3 linked regions of the Sus scrofa genome follow. The protein of the gene in region 3 interacts with the protein of the main gene of each other region in a pairwise test. Links are inferred from orthologs where the notes say so. Each region holds a gene or a part of one and is shown on either strand. Other genes may lie near its edges.

Region 1 (7,025 bases), on a different chromosome or scaffold from region 3:
GAGATGTGTGTTCTCACCACTGAATCCCCAGCCCTCAAAAGGGTCTAGCACACAGTGGATGCGCATGAATCTTTGCAGAGACATGAAGGCTATTTCCCGACCTCCAAGACCTGCGTCCTCAGAAAGGCAGCAGGGGCCTGGCGATGGACCAGGAGCACCCCCACCTCCACCCCCGCCACCAGCGGTAAGACCCAGCCCGCCTCTGCCCTTTATCAGCCCACAGGGCTCCACGTGCAGGGGGCTGGGTCTCACTCCAGTAAACATACATTCATAGCCGTGCCTCGGAACGCTCAGGAAATGGTTATAAAGCTGCAATTTCTTCCTCAGGCACTGCTGCAGGTCTTGGAGATCAGGGCACGAAGTGACTGCAAAACTGGGTGTCAGAGCAGGAAATAAACATGTATACACGTCAACTGGAGAAAGGACCATGGGGGGGCAAATGAGCGGGAAAGGTGAGGGGCGGAACACCAGCAGTCACTTTGGATGGCCTTGGGAGTGACACTGGAACCTTGCAGGAGTTGAGGAACCAACGGGAAACCCTTGCAAAACAGCAAGTGCTGAAGCTGAGGCCAGGTGAGCTCACTGGGGCACAGGAAGTGAACGGCAGAGGCCCCTGCCTCCCGTCTTTTGGGTCTGGGGAGGACTTGGCTGCAGGGACCTGTGGAGAGGCATGCACACATACTCTGGCTTCAGACACCCTCACCTGCACTGCCCCTCACAGCAACCCAAAAGGGCTTCCTTCTAAGCCAGAGTGGGTCACCCAGATTGGCAATGAATGACTGGCATGAGCCTCATCAAAGAGGGCAGGTCACTTCCAGGGCTGCTCTCAACTCACCACACCCCCTCCTCCTGCCCCCCCACCCCATTGTCTGCTGAGTTGAGGCAGAGGGAATTACGGAGCGTTTGCACTTTACTTCTGACCCTGGTGAGAAAAGTGGCTCCAGGGGGGATTGACTGGAACATTTATCTGAAGAAATCAGTCATCAGCAGTACGTTCACTACAAAATAATTTATTGCAACACACAGCTAAAGCCCTAGCCTATGTACAAGCACATGCACACCCCTGCCCGGCAGCTAGGGGGCGCGTTTCTTCCCCGTGCCTTGCGGACCTCTTCTATCAGATCTTTGAGATACTGAATCTCCTTGGCCAAGGAATCTGCCTTCTCTTTCAGAGCTTCGTTCTTCTTTTCCAGCTCTTTACATTCGCCAGTGAGGGCCTCCTGCTCTGCCCTCTTCTTCTGGCGGTACCGAGTGGCTGCTGTCTTGTTCTGCTCCATCTTCTTCAGCTTCTTATCTAGTTTCTCACCCTTTACTTTTGCTGCTACCACCTTCTCTCCAGGAGGATCATAGGGTTTGGGCCGGACAGAACCACAAGGGGCCCCGGGAGAGAGCAAGCTCCTACTTGGAGAGGCCCTGGAGGTGGAGGGACTGTGCTGGGGAGAGCCCAGATAGGAGTCAGGGCTCATACAGATGCCACTGTCATTATCTGAGGGGGCATCCTCTTCCTTTATGCATTGAGGAATCAAGGTAATGTAAGTAGTGGAGTCTGGCTTCCTATCTCCTTCCGAGATTTCCACTTCACCCTGTATCTCTAAACTAAAGGAATTATCTGGAGTGGAAGACAGGGCCCCTGGGGAAAGGGGAAGAGTTTGCAAGAACGTAAAGGGGGCAACCTGGTCAGTTGTTGGTAAACTTTCTGGGAGATGGCCAATTGGGTTCACTATCTGCGGGGGCTCCTGGAGTGGGGGGTCAAAGAGATCACATGTGTCATCCAACGTGGCCAAAAGCTCATCTGGCATGGTTTCCAGGTCATCTATACCCAACAGGGCATCGAAGTCGAACTCCTTCAGATCCATTTTCTCCACCATCCAGTCTGTCCCGGAGAAAGCATCCTCTGCAAGAGATTTAAGAGGGACGGAACCCAGAGTCAGATGCACGCGGCAGCAAGGCTTTATCACCAGACCCCACCGGCAGGGAAAAGCCCACTCACCCTTGCTGTTGTCTGAGGCACTGACCAACCCATCCACAGCCAGCCATTCGGAGGAGCCCGCCTTAGCTTTGTCGCCGGAGAACCCATGAGGTTTGAAGTGCTTGGCCACCTCCAGATATTCGTCTAAGAGCCCTAAGCTCTCTTCAGCCCCCAAACCCGACGGGTCGAAGGGGGACATCAAGTCCCCCACCAACACCTCGCTGCTCAGGAAGCTCATCTCGGCCATGTTGCGGAGTTTTGATGGAATCGAGGAATGTGCTTAATTCGAAGGTGTCTTTGTCGGTTACAGCAACGCTGCTGCTGAATGCCGTGAGAAGCCTTAACAGGAACCAGAAACCAAGCCCCATTAGAGAACAGCTGGTCTGAGCCTTTCGCCTCTCCACCCCCGGGGCAGGACGGCCAAATCCCGACCCCGTGTGGTTGTTGAGACTTGGGGGCCGCTGGCCCCGGCTGCCAACCTTCCCCGCGTCCGCCTGGCGGCGCAAGATGGACGCCCGGCCGTTCCCCGACCCGCCACCAGAGGAAGGCGCCCGGTCCTCCCGGCCGAGTCCGGCCCCGCCCACGCCCGCCCGTGACTCACGCCGCGGCCGCCGCCCTGCCCCGCCGCCATCTTGGCTGCTGCCACGTTTCGTGGAGCCCCAGGGGGAGCCCCGGCCCCCCGGCCGGGGCCGGAGGTACCGAGGACTTCGCCCCACGCCCGAACAGCGCAGCGGCCTCTCGACCCAGGGGCGCTGGCGCTTCGGCGTCACCCCATCAGCGGCCACGCGTCCCGGGCGCTCGTAAAACCGCTTCCCCCTCCGCGACGCCGCCGGACCGCGCCCCAGCATCAGACAAGAACCCTTCACCGACCCGGGGGGACACGGCCCAGAGCGTCGGGCCCCGGTACTTACGCCATGGCTTAAGCCGCTGGGGGGTGCCGCTGCAGAGCCTGGTGCTGCTGCCGCCGCTGCAAAGGCCAATGCTGCCGCAGGCACTGCTGCCTCTAATACGCCATGGCGGCCGCGGACCCTGCGGGAGCGGAGGAAGAAAAGCGCCCACTCGCAGAAAAGGACTACATCTACAGCGGAGAGGAAAAGAAATGGCGGCGGTTCGCCGAGCGCGGGTCCTTTATAGACTCTGCCTCTGTGGGACGCATCACAGAGAATATTCTTCCGCCTAGGTCACGTGACCAGCGCCTCCCACCCACGCGCTTTCATTTAACCGACGCCCCTACCATTTCCAGTCTCTGACTTTTATGTCGAGGGCGAAACTGTGAGGACCAAATGAGTTACTTTTATTTACAGCCTCAAAAAAGGGCGCACTACTTTACAAGGCTTTTGAGATCTAAGGATCACCACCGTCCGCTGCCGGGATGCGCGGAAGGATCTTGCACAGCTACTTCCGGTGCTAGCCCGAGAGGCGGAGACGAGTCTTTCACCCCAAGAAGGGCTTTTATTGTGAAGTACGAGGTCTCCTGGTTATCGCGCGAGCTACTGGCGGAGAGCGCGCGTCGAAATGATTGGTTAGGCATGGTGAGTCATATATACATCGAGTTTCTATTGGCTCAGGCTCCGAGGCGGGCGGGTTGTTCAGCGAGGGAGCCCCTGATCTGCGCGGGAAGGTGGGTGAGGTTCCCGCCGCCGGGCCCCGGCGTCCTGCTCGCCGTAGCGCCGCTCTGCAAAGGCTCCCTCAGCCCCGCCCACCCAGCTGGCCTTGATTGCCCCGGGCAGCCCTGGCCCAGATCCAAATAGTGGCGTTAGGTCCGAATCCTCGTGGTCCTTTCCTGCCGCCCTTGGAGAAGCTCCGAACTAGGGACCGGGTTTAGGCCCGAATGTGAAACTAGTCAAGAGTAAATGTTATTTCGTCTGTTTTCACTTGCACACACTTGCAGAATACTGAGGACGTGTGAACCCTTCAGTAACTGGAAGGGGAGACTGATGACCTCAGCTGAGATCCACCTACCATCAAAGGCCTGCTCTGCGTCCTGACTCAACTCTGTAGAGGCGAGTCGAGTGGAGGAAATCCATAATCCTGTGGTCTAAACAATTGTATTTTTACATATCCATTCTGCTAAAATACAAGTTTCCTTTTATGTTAAAGAATGAAACCTATGACAGGGGAACTTCTTTCAGTTTATGTAGTTTCACTTCCCCTAAAAATGAGGTATTTTATTTAGCTGCTCTTTCTCACTCTAGGGTAGTTTCAATTATTTACCAACTCTGTAACTCCGCGGCATAACCACTTCCCAGCAAGTCCTACTGCCTGGGTGCTTGATCAGACCTGCCCACTTAGGGGAATTTGTGTGTTTGGAGGCCACAGTCCAGGTTAGGGCCAGTAACTTGCCCTCTCTACTGGGGAACTGTCAAGAGCTAGGAGAAAGCTCTTTCACCATCTTCCAGTCCTCCAATCAGGCCCTGTAGGGAAACCTTGAGTTTCCACTCCCCTTCATTTCAGTGGGCCCTACAAATATTATTTCTATGAGGACAGTGAGGTCAAAAATTGGTCAGGCACTTCCTACATAACAACTAACCATTCATTGATTTGAGTCAGTCTAGCCCAACCATTTCTTTACAGTGGTAAGCTGATGACTAAAGGCATGACATGTCTTGCCTGGTGTGGGCAGTATGGGGTAGGAGTTATGACAGATTTAAGGGCCAATTCCAAAAAATCTTGGCTTTCCCATTTATTAGTGGAGACATTCTGGTTAAGTGACTTACCCCCACTGAGTCTTCGTTTCCTGATCTGTAAAACGAGGCTAATGATGGGTATCCTCATCCTTAGAATGAAGTTAAGATAATATATTCACAGCACTGAGCCGTGCGCCTGGTACCTGGTAAGTGCTGGATAAATGGTTGCCATTACTCCTGTGACTAGAACGCAGGTCTTCTAACCCACCTCCCATCCCCATCATATCCTGCTCCCTCAGAGGACTGTTATTTACTGAGATGAAATCAACAACTATAAACAGCTGGTCTAGGAAAGCATACTGGATACTAGGTATGGTTTTTCTTTCCCCTTGGGGAATCTCAATTCTCTGGAAACATGTACAAGGCATCTGGTCTTTTGGTGCAAAGACAGTAAGAATCCCGAGCCACTACCCCCGAGCCACTACCCAAGTCTTCCAAAGGTGTCATTAAGGAGCCACGGGGCATGTCCTCCTCTCTGCTGTATGGGAGACTTGTCAGTGCCTCTTGATGGATGTCCATGCAGATGCTTAAGAAGTAAAGTAACACTGCCCCAATTGGACACCGTAGGAGTGGAATAACCCCATCCGTTCTATTATGGAGACCCCAAGCAAGCACTCTGATGCACCAGTACCACTCACGTAGGAAACTATTTCCCACCACACACACGAGTCAAAGCTGTTGGAAAGGAGACGTTTCTTTTCTTTCCAGGTTGTGGAAGGGCAACGTGTCCCCCAGCTTTATTTCCTCCCTCAAGGAGAAAAAGGATAGTAGTTTTCTGGGTCTTGGGGCTAAGCTGCTTCTATATGGACAAAACAAGGAAGACTGATGACTGATTCCAAATCTATCAGCTAAACACATCAACTGCTCACTGAAGGGCAGATTAGTGACTGGGAGGCAGGTTGTGGACTTGGTTGCAGGGGCCAAGAAAATACAGATTATGAGGCGATCAGAAGGAAAAGGTAAACAAGCTGCATGCAGTTAACTCCAGACCCCACATCTCTTGTTATTTGGCCACCTAGAATCAGCAGCATCTGGAGGCTCAGCAGGTTAAGGATCTGGCGTTGTCACAGCTGTGGCTCAGCTCACTGCTGCTGTGCAGGTTTGATCCTGGGCCTGGCCTGGGAACTTCTGCAGGCTATGGGCCTGCCCTCCACCCAAAGACAAAAAAAATTTCAGAGGGCTACTTCTCACAGCTCTAGTCTGAAGTGTTTCTTACCATTCTCTTTGGCCTTGAGCTTCAGCACAAGGGGCAGAGTTCTAACACATCCTGTGAGGACAGAAGTTCTCAGCCAGGGCCACAGTCTCAGATGTGCCACAACTGGCAGCAATCGGGATACAGGGGATTCCCTACTTCCACAACCCTCCTGGGGCCTCTGCGGGGCCTTCTGATCCTGAAGCTGATTCGTCAAAACCATCTGAGCTCTCAACCTGAATAGAGCGCAAGGGAGCAAAACCAGCTCATCTGTGGAGTGTGAACAGGAGGCCCATGAGGGGCTGAGCCCTGGAGACTGCAGGCTTCACAACACAACTTTTCCCACCATGAACTTCAATTATTCCTTTATTTGAAGAAAAAAAAAAAAGTCACAACCAAGTGTATAAAGAAAAATACTGTTGTCCTGAACTCATGTTTCAGGAATGGGCAACAGAGAAAACCAAAATACACTTTGAAATTGATTAGGTTTTTGATATGAGTATTTTTTAAGCATTAGGCTATGTGGTTTTCTAACCTAGATGGTGCAAAAAATTTCCAGAGGGAGAAGTAGGAGCAGATGCTATTACTTCAGGCAAAGGTGGGAGTTACTGAGTGGGAAGGCAGAAAGGTGGGGAAAGGCCCCACATCTTCCCCCAAAGATTAAAAAAAGTGAATCTTGAAGCACTTGACTGTCCTCCGTGTACTATGATGAGACTGGTCCATCTCAGACGGCAAACCCCTCAGGACCAGAGCTGACCCCACTGCTTCTCGTTCTGAGGACTCCTAGGAGGTTCCTGCTTATGAAATGGCAAAGTTATGAGTTTTGGTTTTGTGAAACATAGGCAGGAGACAGAGCTGCCATCAGAAAGAAGCTCTTTAAGAGAGGAGATAAGCTCAAATCACAATTACACCTGCCTTTGATAATTTGGGATTTAGTCTTTAAGGGGAGTTCCCGTAGTGGCGCAGTGGTTAACAAATCTGACTAGGGACCGTGAGGTTGAGGGTTTGATCCCTGGGCCTTGATCAGTGGGTTAAGGATCCGGCATTGCCGTGAACTGTGGTGTAGATCCCAGACGCAGCTGGGATCCCGAGTTGCCGTGGCTCTGGCACAGGCCTGGGTCTACAGCTCTGATTAGACCCCTAGCCTGGGAACCTCCATATGCCACAGGAAGCAGCC
Region 2 (7,170 bases), on a different chromosome or scaffold from region 3:
ATTGAAAAATGGGCAAAAGATATAAATAGAAATGTATCCAAACAAGACATACACATGGCCAACTAGCCCATGAAAAAATGTTCACCATCCTTCATTGTTAGAGAAATGCAAATCCAAACTACTATGGGGGACCCCTCACACCAGTCAGAATGGCCATCATTAGTAAGTCTACAAATAGCAAATGCTGGAGAGGGTGTGGAGAAAGGGTACCCTCCTACACTGCCGGTGGGAATGTAAATGGGTACAACCACCATGGAAAACAGTATACAGGCACCTCAGAAAACTAAATATAGAAGGACATTTTGACCCAGCAAACCCAGCATTGGGCATATAGCCAGACAAAACATTCCTGGAAAAAGACACATGCACCCCTGTATTCCTTGCAGCACTAGTTACAATAGCCAAGAAATGGAAACAACCAAATGTCCACTGAGAGATGAATGGATTAAGAAGAGGTGGTACATGTACACAATGGAATACTACTCAGCCATAAAAAAAGAACACAATCATGCCATGTGCAGCAGCAACATGGATAGAAAAGGAACATTCATCCTTAGTGAAATAAGTCAGAAAGAGAAAAACAAATACCATATGATATCACCTATATCTGAAATCTAACAAATGGTAAAAATAAACCTTTTCATAGAAAAGAAACCCATGGAATTGAAGAACAGACTTGTCAAAGGGGAGGGGGAGGGAGTGGGGATGACTGGGAGTTGGGGGTTCATAGATGCCAACTATGGCATCTGGAGTGGGTAAGCAATGAGATCCTGCTGCATAGCACAGGCAGTGCTATCTAGTCACCTGTGATGGAACATGATGGAGGATAAATGGACAAAAAGGATGTGTGGATAGAGATGTCAGCCTGGGTCACTTGGCTATAGGGTAGACTGAGCACTGCAAGTCAACTACAATGGGAAAGGAATCATTTTAAAAAAAAAATCACAATTACCAGCTGAGGGCTCACTAGAGACGGTATCTGGGTCCAGACTCCTGCCTCTCAAGAAAAAACAGGCCATCTGACCCCATCGAAACTGTCAAGCTTTCTCACTGCTGTGACACACGACCAGGCTGCAAATCCACATCAAATGCTGAAGGAAACACCCCTGTGTCCTTGCCTGACCTGAGGCATCTTGGGCCAGAGAGTCACAGGTGCCTGGAAAACAATCCCGAATTTCTGGGTGCTGCTGAGGCTTCCGACAAATGCATCATCAGCCACATCTCTGAGCCTGGACCCTGCCGCCTTGGAGCTGCACATGGGTCCGCAGGAAGGTACTCTGACGCCGTCTTGTGGACATCGGCCCTAACAGCAGCTCTCGTGCCTGCCTTCCTCCTGTCTGCTCAGCTCTCCTGGGGCTGCACTGGAGTTGGGCAAGCCTGCGGCTTTCCCTTGAGACTTCCTCTCCCTCTGAACGCCATGAAGTGCCCTAGGAAGTGGGGGATTTCTCTCTCAAAATCTCTCGGGGCACTCAGCCCAACTTACCCAAGGCTATTGTGTCCACTCTGCTGTAACCCTAACCCCACCCACTGTGCTGTGGGAGCCTTTTTTCTTCCTTCACATAATAATTACCTGGAGTGATTATCTCTGGCGTATGAATTTATTAATTTCTTACATCTTCATTGATTTATTCTCTGATTTATTTTTCTGGACCCACTTGTGGCATGCAGATATTGTCTGGCCAGGAACTGAATCCACCCCAGGGCTGTTACTACCCCAGGCTCGTACACACAACCCTCTGCCACCACAAGCATCATATCGGAAGAGCCTTTTTCATGCCTTTCTCTGTCAATTCACTTAGCTACTATGTAGGGATATCTATATGTATGCACTGACTTCATCAATTTATCGCCTTCTTCAAAATATTTACTTTTCTTGATTCATTTACTTGGGTGCCACCTGCAACATCAGGGAGTTGCCCAGTCAGGGTTTGATCTCCCTATGCAACTCTCACCATAGCCACAGACTCTTAAGGAAGCCAGCCACGAGGGAACTCTCTGAGAGCTTTCTTGGTATCAATCAACCCTGCTTAATTCATCAGACCTGGGTTCGGTCAGGCCTCCTTCCCTGGAGCGGTCACTGTAAAGGGAGACTCGTGTGGCAAGGCAAGAAAGACATTTCACTAGGTCTCATGAGCAGAAAAAGCACAGGGATTAGCACAACCACCCACCACAATGCCACCGAAGTCCACCATCCATTCATCAGCACCAGCCTCTATCCAGAGAGCTAAACCCTTGGCAGTCAGGGGCTTGAAAATGGACAGTTCATGATTCAAAACAGAGGCTGTGTGGGTTCTGGCTCCTGGCCTGGAGGAACACAAGGCGCTCTGAAACCCAGTGGATCACTCAAGCATTATAAACACACTGCCACCTGGCCAGGCAGCAAATGCACACACATTAAATGCTAAAAGGACAGCTGTGTGCTCTGCCTGACGTGAGGCAACTTAGAGCAGAGAGTCCCAGATACCTGGAAAACAACCCCAGATCTCTGGGTGCTGGCTGGGGTTTCCCACAAACACATCATCAACCCCAACGCTGAGCCCCGACATGCAGCCTTGGAGCTTGCCCTTGGGTCTGGAAAGTACCCTGGCACCGTCTTGTGGTCATCTGCACTAACAGCAACTCTCAGGTGTTCGTCCTCCCTCTGGCTGAGCAGCCCCCGGGGGCAGCTTTGGCCTTGGGCAACACACTGGTTGGATTGCCTTCCTCTGCTTTCTTGAAATATCAAGAAGGGCCCTACCAAGTGGGCTATTTCTCTCTCAAAGGCTTTCAGAGCCCTGAGGCCACCCTACCCGATGCCACAGCTTTTAAACACTCAGCTCCCGACCCATCATGTGCTGACAGCCTTCTTCAATTTTTCATATATTCACGCAGGTGTGTGTTTTTGAATATATTTGTTTACATATGTAATTATTGACTTATTTTCTTACCTTTCCAACTATTATTCATTAGCTCATAGGTCTTTCTTCCTTTGTTCTACCTTTCTTACATTTTTTTCTTTCACTGGAGTGACTTACCCTACTGTATGGAGCCCAGTGGCTCCCAAATGTCGATTCCTTGCTCCAACCGCCAAGAGCTGGGGCAGCCAGGGCCACTTTAGGGAATTTTGAAAGGAAGATGCTCAGGACAAGTGGTCCTGGCAGCTGCTAGGAACTCACCAGAAAACTCCCCAACTGGGGCCAGCTGGTCACAAACAGCAAGGCTCCTGGCTGGCTCACCAAAACCTGTTGCCGAACCCAAGTTTGCTCTGCTCACTGTACTGCTCAGGCCAATGAATTCTAAGAAGAGTTGTTGGGGCGATGCATAGCTACTTTAATTAGAAAGCTAGCAGATGGAGAAGACGGCAGGCTAGTGTCTTGAGACTTGCCTCAGTCTTAATTCAGGCTCTTTTAATACTGAGAAAGGGGAGGGGCAGGGGCCAATGGTCAGCCACTGTCACTTGCTGGGGGGACAGGCTCACTACAATGCTGACCAATGGCTGAAGAGGACCACTAAATGTCGCTCACTAATGGTTGCTCACTTACACTCTGACCCCAGCCCCTTTATCCCTGACTCTAACCTCTAAGGCCAGGCAGTCTGTACAACAGGATGGGTTAGGGTTTTAAGGGTCACTTGAACCTTTGCTCTACCCTTATCTTGCACAGGTCAGTTCACCATCAAAGAAGTAGCCCCAGTAACATGGAGATTATGGCCCACTTTGCCAGTTTGGATTGGTAGTCCATGACTTGAACAACCGTCAAGGGTGGCAATGGTCATGGGCTCAGCTACTAATTCCTACTCCTTTCCCTGACCTTGATACTGACCCTAAAAATGAAAGGTGACTCTCGTCTGACATTGACTCTTGACCCTTTCCCTGACCCTCGTCTCCTACTCAGACTCTTACTTTGATGCTGAGACCAGCTCAGTGAGTGGAGGTGAAGGACGGGTGCTGCAAAGCTTAAGAAATGTTCATCGGAAACAAAGAAAGACACAGAGACAGGGTACAGTTAAAGATGGGACCAGGGGACGCAAGACCTCATGCGTCAAGAGCCCTGAATGCCGACGCCTCATCGTCTTTATTATGCTCTCAGGAAGGTAAACAATGTGAGAAAATAGACACCCCAAGGCCCTCGGCCTCCAGTCACCTTGAATTTGAACTCCGACCTTTACTCTAAAGGGCATCAATGAGGCTGGTGTTAGCTATCTAGGCATAACATCTTGAGGAACAATCAGTGTTTTCTCAAGCAGTTTTCTGACTTGAGCTGACCCGGTTTTCCAAAGTCAACACCTTGTCCTCTCAGTTAATGCCTAACTTGCTGAGCCAGGTCCCTCTAGCCCCTTATGGTTTCCTTGGGGTTTAGAAAACACATCCGGAAGATTTCTCCCCACACCTTGAGCCTTAATCCTAATGCTTACTCTGTGACTTTTCGTAACCTTATCCCTATCGAGGACGCTTAAGTCAGCTCTAGGGCAGGGCTTTGCACAGGTAGCACTCAAAACTGCTCCTCACACCTGGTTGTTCCTGCCACCTGGAATCCTGAGCAACAGGTGAGGAAAACGTGACGCTGGAGGTTTTGGAACAGGATTTGCGCACGACGAGGCCAACTCACCGCCCTGCTGTAAAGCACCCAGGACGCGTCTGAGGGAAAACCGGAAATTCCTCTTCCGGGTGCAGAGACAGGAATGAACTGAGACCCCCACGCCAAGCACTGGCACTGTCCCCGAAGCGCGGGCGGCGTCCCCTGGGACGCACCCTCAGGAGACCGCCACACGCCCGCAGGCCCCTGGCTCCTCCATCGACCAAGCGCAAACCCAAGCGCACGCGACCCTCGCCTGCTCTGCGCAGAGTCAGGGCCAGACGCTCAAGCATGCGCACTGGCGCGAGCCCACGGTCTCCCCGCGGCCCCCGCTCGAGGAAACGGGCATTGCGCAGGCGCACAGAGGACGCCCCGCCCCCGGCGCGGCGCCAGACGCCGGGAGCCAGCGACCTGAGAGGAGATGGCGGGGCGGCCGGGGCCTTCGAGCGAGGAGTCCGCGGGAGCCCTGGGCCGCGCTGGCGAGGCAGGAGGTAGCTGGGCCCGGTGGCGGCCTCTGACCCGGCCTCCGGAGGGAGCCAGGCTGCCAGGGGCCGGGCGGGGAGCGCGTGCGGGCGCCTCTTCCTCAGGGCGGGGTCGGTCGTGAGGAAAAACGACTGTCGCCCCGCTGGAAGGGTCTGGGCGGCGCTACCCGGAGCGCTCCGGGGGACTCACCCGCAGGCCTCGCCTGACCTTCGCGCACTTCCCGTTGGCCTGGTCTGTCCACCCCGTTTGCTCAAGTAGCTCAGAGGAGTCAGGGGACACGGTTTCGATCTGGTCCCGGGGCCCCCACACCCGTGGGCCCGCGTCGGTCCCGTCACTCGTCCCACAGCCCGCACACATCTGCCTTCCCAGCTGCCCCGTAGTGGTTCTCCTCGGGGGAGTTTTTCCCCCGGACGAGGGTCCGGACGGCTCCACACGGCATTACCTTTTCTTTCGTCTTGACACTGATCCGCCGCGTGTTGGCTCCCACCTCACCAGGAAGCGGGTGGGGGAGCACGGCAGCTCCTTCAGTTAAAAAGTTCTGCAGGGACAGCCTGGGGTAGAGGAGAGATGAACAGTGTTCCTTAGACGTTTTCGCCCCGGTGTTTCACAGAACCGGAGGGACCTGTACAAGGAACACCCATCCCTCAGCTTGTTTACTCTCTGCTCTCCTTGGCTCACCCACCTCCCTCCTTAAGATTCAATCATGAACATGTCTTGGTGACACTTTCAGACCTGCCGTTACCAGTGCAGCTTTGGTACATTGGTAAGGGCTCCATAACGTTTTTATAAAATAAAGGTCTAAGTAATTAAAGAAACAGCACAGAAAGCTTGATTGGAGCACAGTGTGGCACCTGGTGACAACTCTCAGCTAAGGACAAAGAAAAACAGGGCAGATGCATATAGTTCCCTTTTCTTAAGCACCTACCGTGGCCACCACTGTACTAAAGAAACCTCTTAGTATTGCTCTTCCAAATTTCTCAAATAAGACAACATATTTAGATGAATGTTTAATCAGTTTCACCAGTGTCTTATAACTGGTGAAATACCATATCCCATGTGGCTTAGAAACTTAGGAATTTTACAACTTCACTCTTTCCTGGAGGATCACACAAAACATATAGATGCATGGACTACGTAGTCACTGGAGCCTAGATGGCGGTAGGAAAACATGGGGAGGGAACAGCTAAATCCCGAGGTATTTCTACTGGGAAATACCTGTAGAGTGGATTTCTGAAATGAGGAAGAAATGGAATTAAAATTAAGGTAACTATGTCAACTTTTAAATTATTAGATGTATTTACACTGATACAGCATGATTTTCAAAAAGGATATTTTTATGAGAGAAAAGCAAGAAAAATTATAATTATAGCACTATGTAGGTTGCACAGAAAGATGTCTGGAGGCTGCTTTCCTAATTGATGGCTCCAAGGAAGGGACTTGGATTTTGAGGGCAATGCAGAGGTAAAGGAACATTTTTAACCTTAATATTTGTATTTTCTACTAAGAATATGTAATTAATACTAGTGGAAATTTAAAATGTAAAAGTAGGGGACATTTTTAAAATGCCATTTGAGGATTGTATGTTAATATCTATCACTGTTGTTCTCTCAGTTTTAATTGTTATACTGAGGTTATTACTATATAGGAGAGTGTCCCTGTACTTTAGAACTTCACAACAGAATATTCGGGGTAATGAAGCATTGTATCTGCAACTCATTCTCAAGGTTCAGAAAGAGTAGCAAATGGAAGATTTGGGATGAAGGGCATAAAGGAGCTGTATGTCCTATTCTTAAACTTTATTATGGAAAAATTTAGGCATATGCAAGAATGCACAGGCACATGAAAAGATGCTGAACATTGCTAATATAGAAAGAGAAAACTACAATGAGGTATCACCTCACACTAGTAAGAATGTCTATCATAGTCTACAAATAAATGCTGGAGAGGGTGTGGAAAAAAGGAACCCTTCTACACTGTTGGTGGGAATATAAATTGGTGCAGTCACTATGGAGAACAGTAGAGAGGTTCCTTAAAAAACTATAAATATGGTTACCATATGATCCAACAGTCCCACTCCTAGGCATGTATCTGGAAAAAAATAAAACTAATTTGAAATGGTATATGCACCCCAGGG
Region 3 (7,242 bases):
TAACCACAGCAGCCCTCGCTTTGCTGGTCCCGACTTTTCGTCTCTAAATTATCAATATACAAATATATGTTATAAATATAATCTTTGTGTAACACTGACTTAATGAAAAACATTTTCAGCTTTTTTTCCCCTAAGAATTGTCAACATCTTTTTTATAAGTGTGGTTTAAAACAAAAAACAAAAAACTACTTTACAGAACGATCCGTGGCTTTATAAAATAAAGGTATTTCTAAACAAAGCAGTTGCATTGATTGCTTCTCTTAATAACTGTCCTCAAGCATGTGGGGGTCCCAGCAGCCCCAGGCAGGTGAGGGAAGAGACTGGCCTGTACAAGTGGATATGAAACAGCTAAGTGCATGGCCTCTGGTTCCTTAGAGTTCTGATTCCTCTTGAGTCAATATGATGAACCCCATTTCCACCCCTGAGGCTGCATACCAATGACAGGAGCTGGGCTGCCTGGAGGGACCGGCGGACTCGTGCACAAAGCAGGAAGGGGGAGCACCTTGTCACCCCAGGAGGAGCGCCCTGAACCTTGCAAGGGCATTAGCACCAAGGCTGGAGGATAGCAGCATCCAGGCCACATCCCCCTAACATCCCACGACAGGGAGCCTCCAACTGTGCTGACTACATGACTGCTTTCCCTCCTGGCCCAGCCCTGCATCCTCCCCACTGTTCACATCTGCATTAGACACTCGTGCCTTTCTCTGGAGAGGGTTTGGATGCAGACCTCAGCCCTGGAGCTTCGGAGTGCTTGCCCTTCTTCAAGGATCCAGTGTTTACTGGGGTTCACCTTCGTTTTCTCAAAAGGCCATCCCATCATGTCCCTGAGGAATGCATTTGTAGAAGAAGCCTTGGGGTGTGGAGCTGTGATTTTCTAAACCTCTCTCCCAAGATCTTAAAAAGACAAGGCTGCCGAAGTGGGTCACTCAGGAGAAGACATCACTGTACCTGTGCTCGGCATTGCAGACTTGCCTGGGGCTCACAGTCTCCCCTCACTGCTCTCTCCATCACTGGTCACCTGCTGCCCCCAAGCCCACGGCCAGCGGGTCAGACCCTCAGAGACACAAGAGGGCCTTGCGGAGAGGGCTGCTTCTCCATTTTTCCCCAATACAACGTGGCTGGAAGAGAAGATAACTGCTTTGACACTCCCTTTCTCTAAAGGAAATATAGTTTGATAGTATATTTTGAATATAGATGTTCTTATAGTCAGACTGGGACCCAAACTTGAGTGTTGATTCATATGTTCGTGCTATCGCTGTGGTCTTCTTATCATAACTTTTTCCTTTCTTCCTACATGTTCCTTTAAAAAAAAAAAAAAAAGATGGCCTTTGAAAGTGTGTGTCCTCAGTGTCCTATGAACCTACTTAAACTGAGTTTGGTGATTGTCTCTCTTCAAAGACTTCAACCTACAAAGAAGCAGGTTACACATTGCTCTGAGATTCATTTCCCAGCATCCTGCTGTCTGGTCTCTCAACCTTATCATAATATTTCTGTCTGTGATGGCTTTTAATATATCAATGTGTGTGTATATATAGAGAAAGAAATCTGTAAAGTAAAATTTATATATAATATATGTAATCAGAGATACATATGTTATATATATATATATATATATATGTGGGATGTATGACTTATTTTTCCTTATCCACAGAATTCAGCTACCATGTATATATAAATAAACTTATTTTATTAGCCAGAGGATTAAGTTGCTAATACATTTCGCATTCTTTTAATTTTTAAATAACTTTTAAGTCTTCCTTTAGTACCGACACCACCTGTCCATCTGTTTGGTTTTTTTTTTTTTTTCATTTATTTTAACAGTATGTGGGGTTTTATCAATGTGATAAGCTAATGGATTAGCCATTTATCATCTGGGGAAAAAAAATCCCTTAGAACATGTTTTCTCCCCAGAAAAGTCATGTATCTCCAGGTCTTTGGAGACATTAGTGTCAAGATATAGCCCTCCTCATCCTCCCGTTTCCTGGACTCAGGGCTGTATCTGCAGTCAGAGAAATCCAAAGGCAACCTTGCCACTGAGTGTCACCTTTCCATAGAGTAACAGTGACTAAACATGGCACCTCTGCAGACAAATTAATCAATGGCTGGAGCCCTCCATTTAGTCTTGGACACATCCTGAGATTCCTGCAGCTCCTGGGACCTGTCAGCATCACCTGTTTTAGGTGATGTCATTATAACTCAGACTGGTGGGATACAGGGTCTTTCAGGGTGCACCAGAACTGGTGTTCACAGCAAGAAGGCCAGGGGGCACTGCCAGCCTTTACTTGATCAGGTTGATTCCTTAATCTGTTAATCACATAACAACATTTGATATTTGTGAAGTACTTTCCATGACATCTCAATTAGAAAAAGTAGAAGGAGGGAAAAAAAGGAAGAGCACATGGAGTATTTCAGTAGGGATCAGGGTTTTTATCTCTGCCTGTGTGACCTTGGGTAAGTACCCTGTTCTCTGGGTGTTGGGAGACAGAGGGAGTCCTAGATAACTTCTCATCCCAGCTCTGCTACTTTCTGGGCAGGGGCCCTTGGGAAAGTCACTGCAGCTCTCATCACACAAGGAAGGATAGCCCATCTCAGGACGTGTGATGCTACTTCTGGAATTGTGCAGTGTGCAGCCCCAGCAGCAGTGCATGTCAACCCCGAACCTACCTCCTAAGGTCGAACTAAGAAGTCAGTGAAGTAAGGTGTGGAAATCTTCACAGCACTGATGGGTTCAGCACTCACAAGCAGCCGACCCTTTCCCCTTCTCTCCTCAAGGTATGTTCTCACGTTCCAGGATCCGGGATAAATATCCATCTCTGGGTTTTGGCTACTTCATTCCTCTAGGGTTAAACTTAAATGCAGTGGTTAGGTCCATTTTGTTATCCTGGGGGCTGCAGGATACTTTTTGGCTGCCTAGGGCATGAATTAAAGCCCAGTGTGTGTCATACAGTCCTAACTTAGAGCTCCCTTAAAGATCTTACCAGAAAACCTCTTTATTTTTATTAGTTTTCTGGCAGATGGGAAAACAGAGGTGACAGGAACATCCAGAACATAATAGGTGGCCAACACACGTGAGGCCTGAATTTGCCCACAGTCCCTTGTCTAGTGCATTAGAAAGTAAGGTCTAGAGGGTGAAGCAGTGTAACCAAGGTCAAGCAGCTGATGAAGGCAGGGCTCAAGGGGAGAAAGGGGATAGGGAGCGACCTGAAGCTGCGGCAGGGGACTGAGGGAGGGTGGAGGGAGCAAGGCACTTAGTTTGTTTCTCTTGAGTCCCTGGGGCTGCCTTGGGCATGGCTGGTTCACAGCCTTCTACAGCCACGTTTCCACACCCACACCCACAGCACAGGGAAGGATGTAGAAAGCCCTGACTCCAGCCCTAAACCCCTAGAGTCAGTCCTGGCTCAGCCACTCATGACACTTGTGAGCTGAGGCCTCAGTTTACTCATCCATGAAGTAGGGCTGCTGTGTGCCTGCCTGGCCCTCTCTTAGACACTGCAATACACAGGCCCAGCTGAGCCACCCCTGCAGCCTGCACTGATCCAGCTTCCCCACCACCCACAGAAAAATCTCGGAGGTCAGGCATATGACCCTGCAGAGAATGCTTGAGCGCCTCTCTGCACACAGCCCTGGGCGGGCCGCTTCCCTTTCAGCTTGGTGAATGGTGGAAACTCATGGAAAACAGCAGACAAAGCAGCCCTGGCATAGGGAAGCTTCCAGAGAGGCCCGGTCACGGGGATGCTGGGGCTGGAAACCAAAAGGCCACTGGGCTCTGTGAACCCACTAGGCACAGCAGAGACAGAAGGGGCGATGAGCACCAGGCGAGTGGTGGTGGACGTGCCCACAGGGGCCAGCCCCAGCATGCCTCTGCAGAGGCACAGGGCTTCCTTCAGGGGAGCACAGTCACCATCCTCCCTGGAGGGCCTCCCAGCCTCCAGGACCATTGCCGTGGGTGGTCTTGTCCGAACACCCAGGGTCTATGTAGGGATGACACCCAGTGGGTCCACTGGTGGCCTGGGTGCCCGGGTGACCCGCCGGGCCCTGGGCATCAGCAGCGTCTTCCTGCAGGGCCTGCGGAGCTCAGGCCTGGCCACGGCGCCCACTCCAGGCCTGGAGAGGGACCTCAGTGGCGTCGAGGACCTGGGAGGGTGCCTGGTGGAATACATGGCCAAGGTGCACGCCCTCGAGAAAGTCAGCCAGGAGCTGGAGGCAGAGCTGCGGATGCACCTGGAGAGCAAGGCCACACGCTCCGAGAGCTGGGGTGCCCTCCGGGCCTCATGGGCCAGCAGCTGCCAGCAGGTGAGTACCAGGACAAGATGCTAACAGCTGCCTCCTGCACCGTCTCTTGGGTGGGATGGGGAGGGGGGTCAATATCAGAGAGCAAGAGTGCTGAGGCAGGGGGCAGGGAAGTGAGTGGTCTGAGGCCAGAGAGACTGACCCTACACGTTCATGCTGAAAACATTAATAACTGGAGTTCCCATCATGGCACAGCAGAAACAAATCCGACTAGGAACCATGAGGTTTCAGGTTCGATCCCTGGCCTTGCTGAGTGGGTAAGGATCCAGCGTTGCTGTGAGCTGTGGTGTGGGTTGCAGATGAGGCTCGGATCTGGCATTGCTGTGGCTCTGGTGTAGGCTGGCACCTGTTGACTCCAATTAGACCCCTAGCCCGGGAATCTCTGTATGCTGCAGGTATGGCCCTGAAAAGACAAAAGACAAAAAAAAAAAAATTAATGACAATGATAACTGTAACAGCGGCTACCATTTGCTGAGGTGTACTCAGGGCGGGGCCCAGGCAGGAACTGTGTCCTCAAGTGTTCAAAGCAATGCCATGTGATGGCTCATTCATTGATTGCATTTTTAGATGAGGTAACAGAGGCCCAAAGAAGCATTGTGCTCAAAATCATGCAGCCAGTTGGAGAGGTGGAGCTGAGATTTGAACCTGAATTTTTCCAGCTCTAAAGCTTGCATTTGTCCCATCAGCCTGGGCTGACTCTATAACCCTTGTGTTAAGAGAGGAGTTTTACAGCCATCATCCAATAGAATACCACCAAATGGATGTGGCATTGGGAACAATGGCTAAATGGAGGGGTGTTCCTGTTTCTATCTCTACAGCGCTGGCCCATGGAAATTAGAGCCACGCAGAGAATTGACAAGTTTACTACACACAGTAGTTAAAGTAAAAAGAAACAAGTGAGGTTACTATTAGTATATCATATTTAACTCTATTTTAAATGTTATTTCAACATGTAATCAATATAAAAACTATTAGTGAGATACGTCACATTCAGATAGAAATTCTGCAATGATGGAAATGTCCCTATACCTGCACCGTTGTGTCTGGTAGCCACCAGCCAGCTCTGGCTATGGAGCACTTGAAGTGCAGCTAATGAGGCTGAGAAATTGACATTTTTATTTTCATTCATTTACATTTAAATAGCCACAGGTGGCCGTGGTTACCTTATTAACCAGGGCAGGGCACAGAGGCTTCCTCTCTGTCCCTTGTTTGGTCAGGACCTGCTCTCCTGGTAATTCTGCAGGGCGCTGAACTCATCTGTCACATCTGGCCTGTAGCCTGTGGTTCTGACACTGGGGCAGCAGTCAGCTCTGCACATTTCATCTCATCTGTCTCCTTTCCCCTCCTCCCACAAATGCTGGCCTTGGCATCCCTCTGAGCTAAATCAGCCTCTAGCCTGGCCAGGAACTGCCAGCTCAGACCCCTTTCACCTGGGGGCCCAGCATACAGCCCCCAGAGAGTCACAGACTTTCATTCGTGTGTGGGTGGGTAATGCTGGTCAGACACACTCATGAGCTTCCCATTTGCCCCTCCTGCCTCCCACTTCACCCCAGGATGCTTCTCCTCCCCTGCCAGCTGGTGCCAGCTACCGGCACTACACATATGACACCCAACACTGTTCTCTCGGCTCTCCCCCAGAGCTGCTGTTCTGCCTACATCTATCTGGGCTGTGAGGAGAGCCATCTCAGAGCAGTCCACGGCCTTAGACCCAGCAAGTCAAGCAGCCATTCCTCTAGTGTTCTCTCCAACAGTGCAGATTCCAAATATGCATGTCCTGTAAGCCACCAGAACACCCCTAGATAGTCCAATATCTCAGCATCTGCCAGGCAATTTCATGCACTCAGATGCTACACAGACTTTTCATGAGACGTCAGGTGTCCCAATTTGTAGGTCAAAAAGTATGGCCACAAAATAGTCTGTTCTGTCCTGGTCTGGATCCAGAGGCTTAGGCAACTTACCCAACTTCCCTGAGCCTCAGTTTCCTTATCTGTAAAATAGGTATAATAATGCCATGGATATTCCAACAAATCCATTGATAACTAAATTGTATAGGTCCTGCCTGAAGGTAGACCACAGACTAGAAAAACACACAATGAGAGCAGTATAGGTCCAATGCTATGGGCTGAACATCAAGATATCCTCCAAATGAGAGTCATTTTCCTTTTTTTCTTTTTTTTTTCTTCAAACATGAACTTGAAGATACAGCTAGACCAGCCTATAAAATGGAGTTACTTCTGTATCACACGGCCCAGCTCCAACCATGTTTAGCTCTGTTCCATCAAAAAGGACAAAAGAAAATCCTAAATATCTGGGATATACACATGATTTTTCTAATGTTGCTGTTGCACAATTAACCCATGCAGGGTACCCAACTCTGGCCTCCACACAGGCTGTGAGATGGCTTTGCTGGTAGCTGCTCTCCACCCAGTCACCAGAATGATCTTTCGGAGACATGAGCTCTGACTGCACTGTCCCTGCCCCCAAACCCTCTGGGTTCCTCCTACCAGAGAGGACACAATCCATGACCCTGCGCTGAGTCCACAAGGCCCTTCTGAAGCCACCTCTGGCCCTGCCATACCACCCACTTGGGAGGCCGTGAATATACCATGTGCCCTGGCCTCACTGCTCCTCTGAGCTGCCTTCCCACTCTTTCCATGACCTCGTGACTGCCTGTACACACATCCACTGTGGCAGCTACCAGTGGTCCTTGTCATTTGCATGACTCGGCCTTCACACTCCAGGTTCACTTGAGCAAGTGAAAAGGGCATAAACTGGGAATCAAGGGATCTTGCATTTGGATGTTGGCTCTGCTGCCTACTAGCTGGGTGGCTTTGTATCAGTTACTTAACTTCTCTGAGATTGTTTCTTCATTTGCAGTTTGGGGATCACTATATGTGCTGTGGGGGGCTATGAAGGGGGTTCACTGAATTTTATGTACTAGGTGAAATCAGA

The links.
Region 1: the proteins of BFSP2 (region 3) and ATF4 interact in binary tests that used the Homo sapiens proteins (3 or more experiments, as listed by UniProt). The link is inferred for Sus scrofa from reciprocal best matches to the Homo sapiens genes BFSP2 and ATF4.
Region 2: the proteins of BFSP2 (region 3) and SYCE1 interact in binary tests that used the Homo sapiens proteins (3 or more experiments, as listed by UniProt). The two-hybrid records come from large-scale screens. The link is inferred for Sus scrofa from reciprocal best matches to the Homo sapiens genes BFSP2 and SYCE1.

The regions. Positions count from the first base shown.
Region 1 is NC_010447.5:8,741,974-8,748,998, forward strand, and holds ATF4 (cyclic AMP-dependent transcription factor ATF-4), read right to left. Parts: upstream 3,780-7,025; 5' UTR 2,881-3,779; intron 2,309-2,880; 5' UTR 2,217-2,308; coding exon 1,991-2,216; intron 1,895-1,990; coding exon 1,035-1,894; 3' UTR 991-1,034; downstream 1-990. UniProt on the Homo sapiens protein: Transcription factor that binds the cAMP response element (CRE) (consensus: 5'-GTGACGT[AC][AG]-3') and displays two biological functions, as regulator of metabolic and redox processes under normal cellular conditions, and as master transcription factor during integrated stress response (ISR).
Region 2 is NC_010456.5:141,733,630-141,740,799, reverse strand, and holds the start of SYCE1 (synaptonemal complex central element protein 1), read left to right. Parts: upstream 1-2,969; 5' UTR 2,970-4,974; coding exon 4,975-5,044; intron 5,045-5,478; exon of another isoform or gene 5,479-5,658; intron 5,659-7,170. UniProt on the Homo sapiens protein: Major component of the transverse central element of synaptonemal complexes (SCS), formed between homologous chromosomes during meiotic prophase. Requires SYCP1 in order to be incorporated into the central element.
Region 3 is NC_010455.5:74,554,627-74,561,868, forward strand, and holds the start of BFSP2 (phakinin), read left to right. Parts: upstream 1-3,251; 5' UTR 3,252-3,732; coding exon 3,733-4,293; intron 4,294-7,242.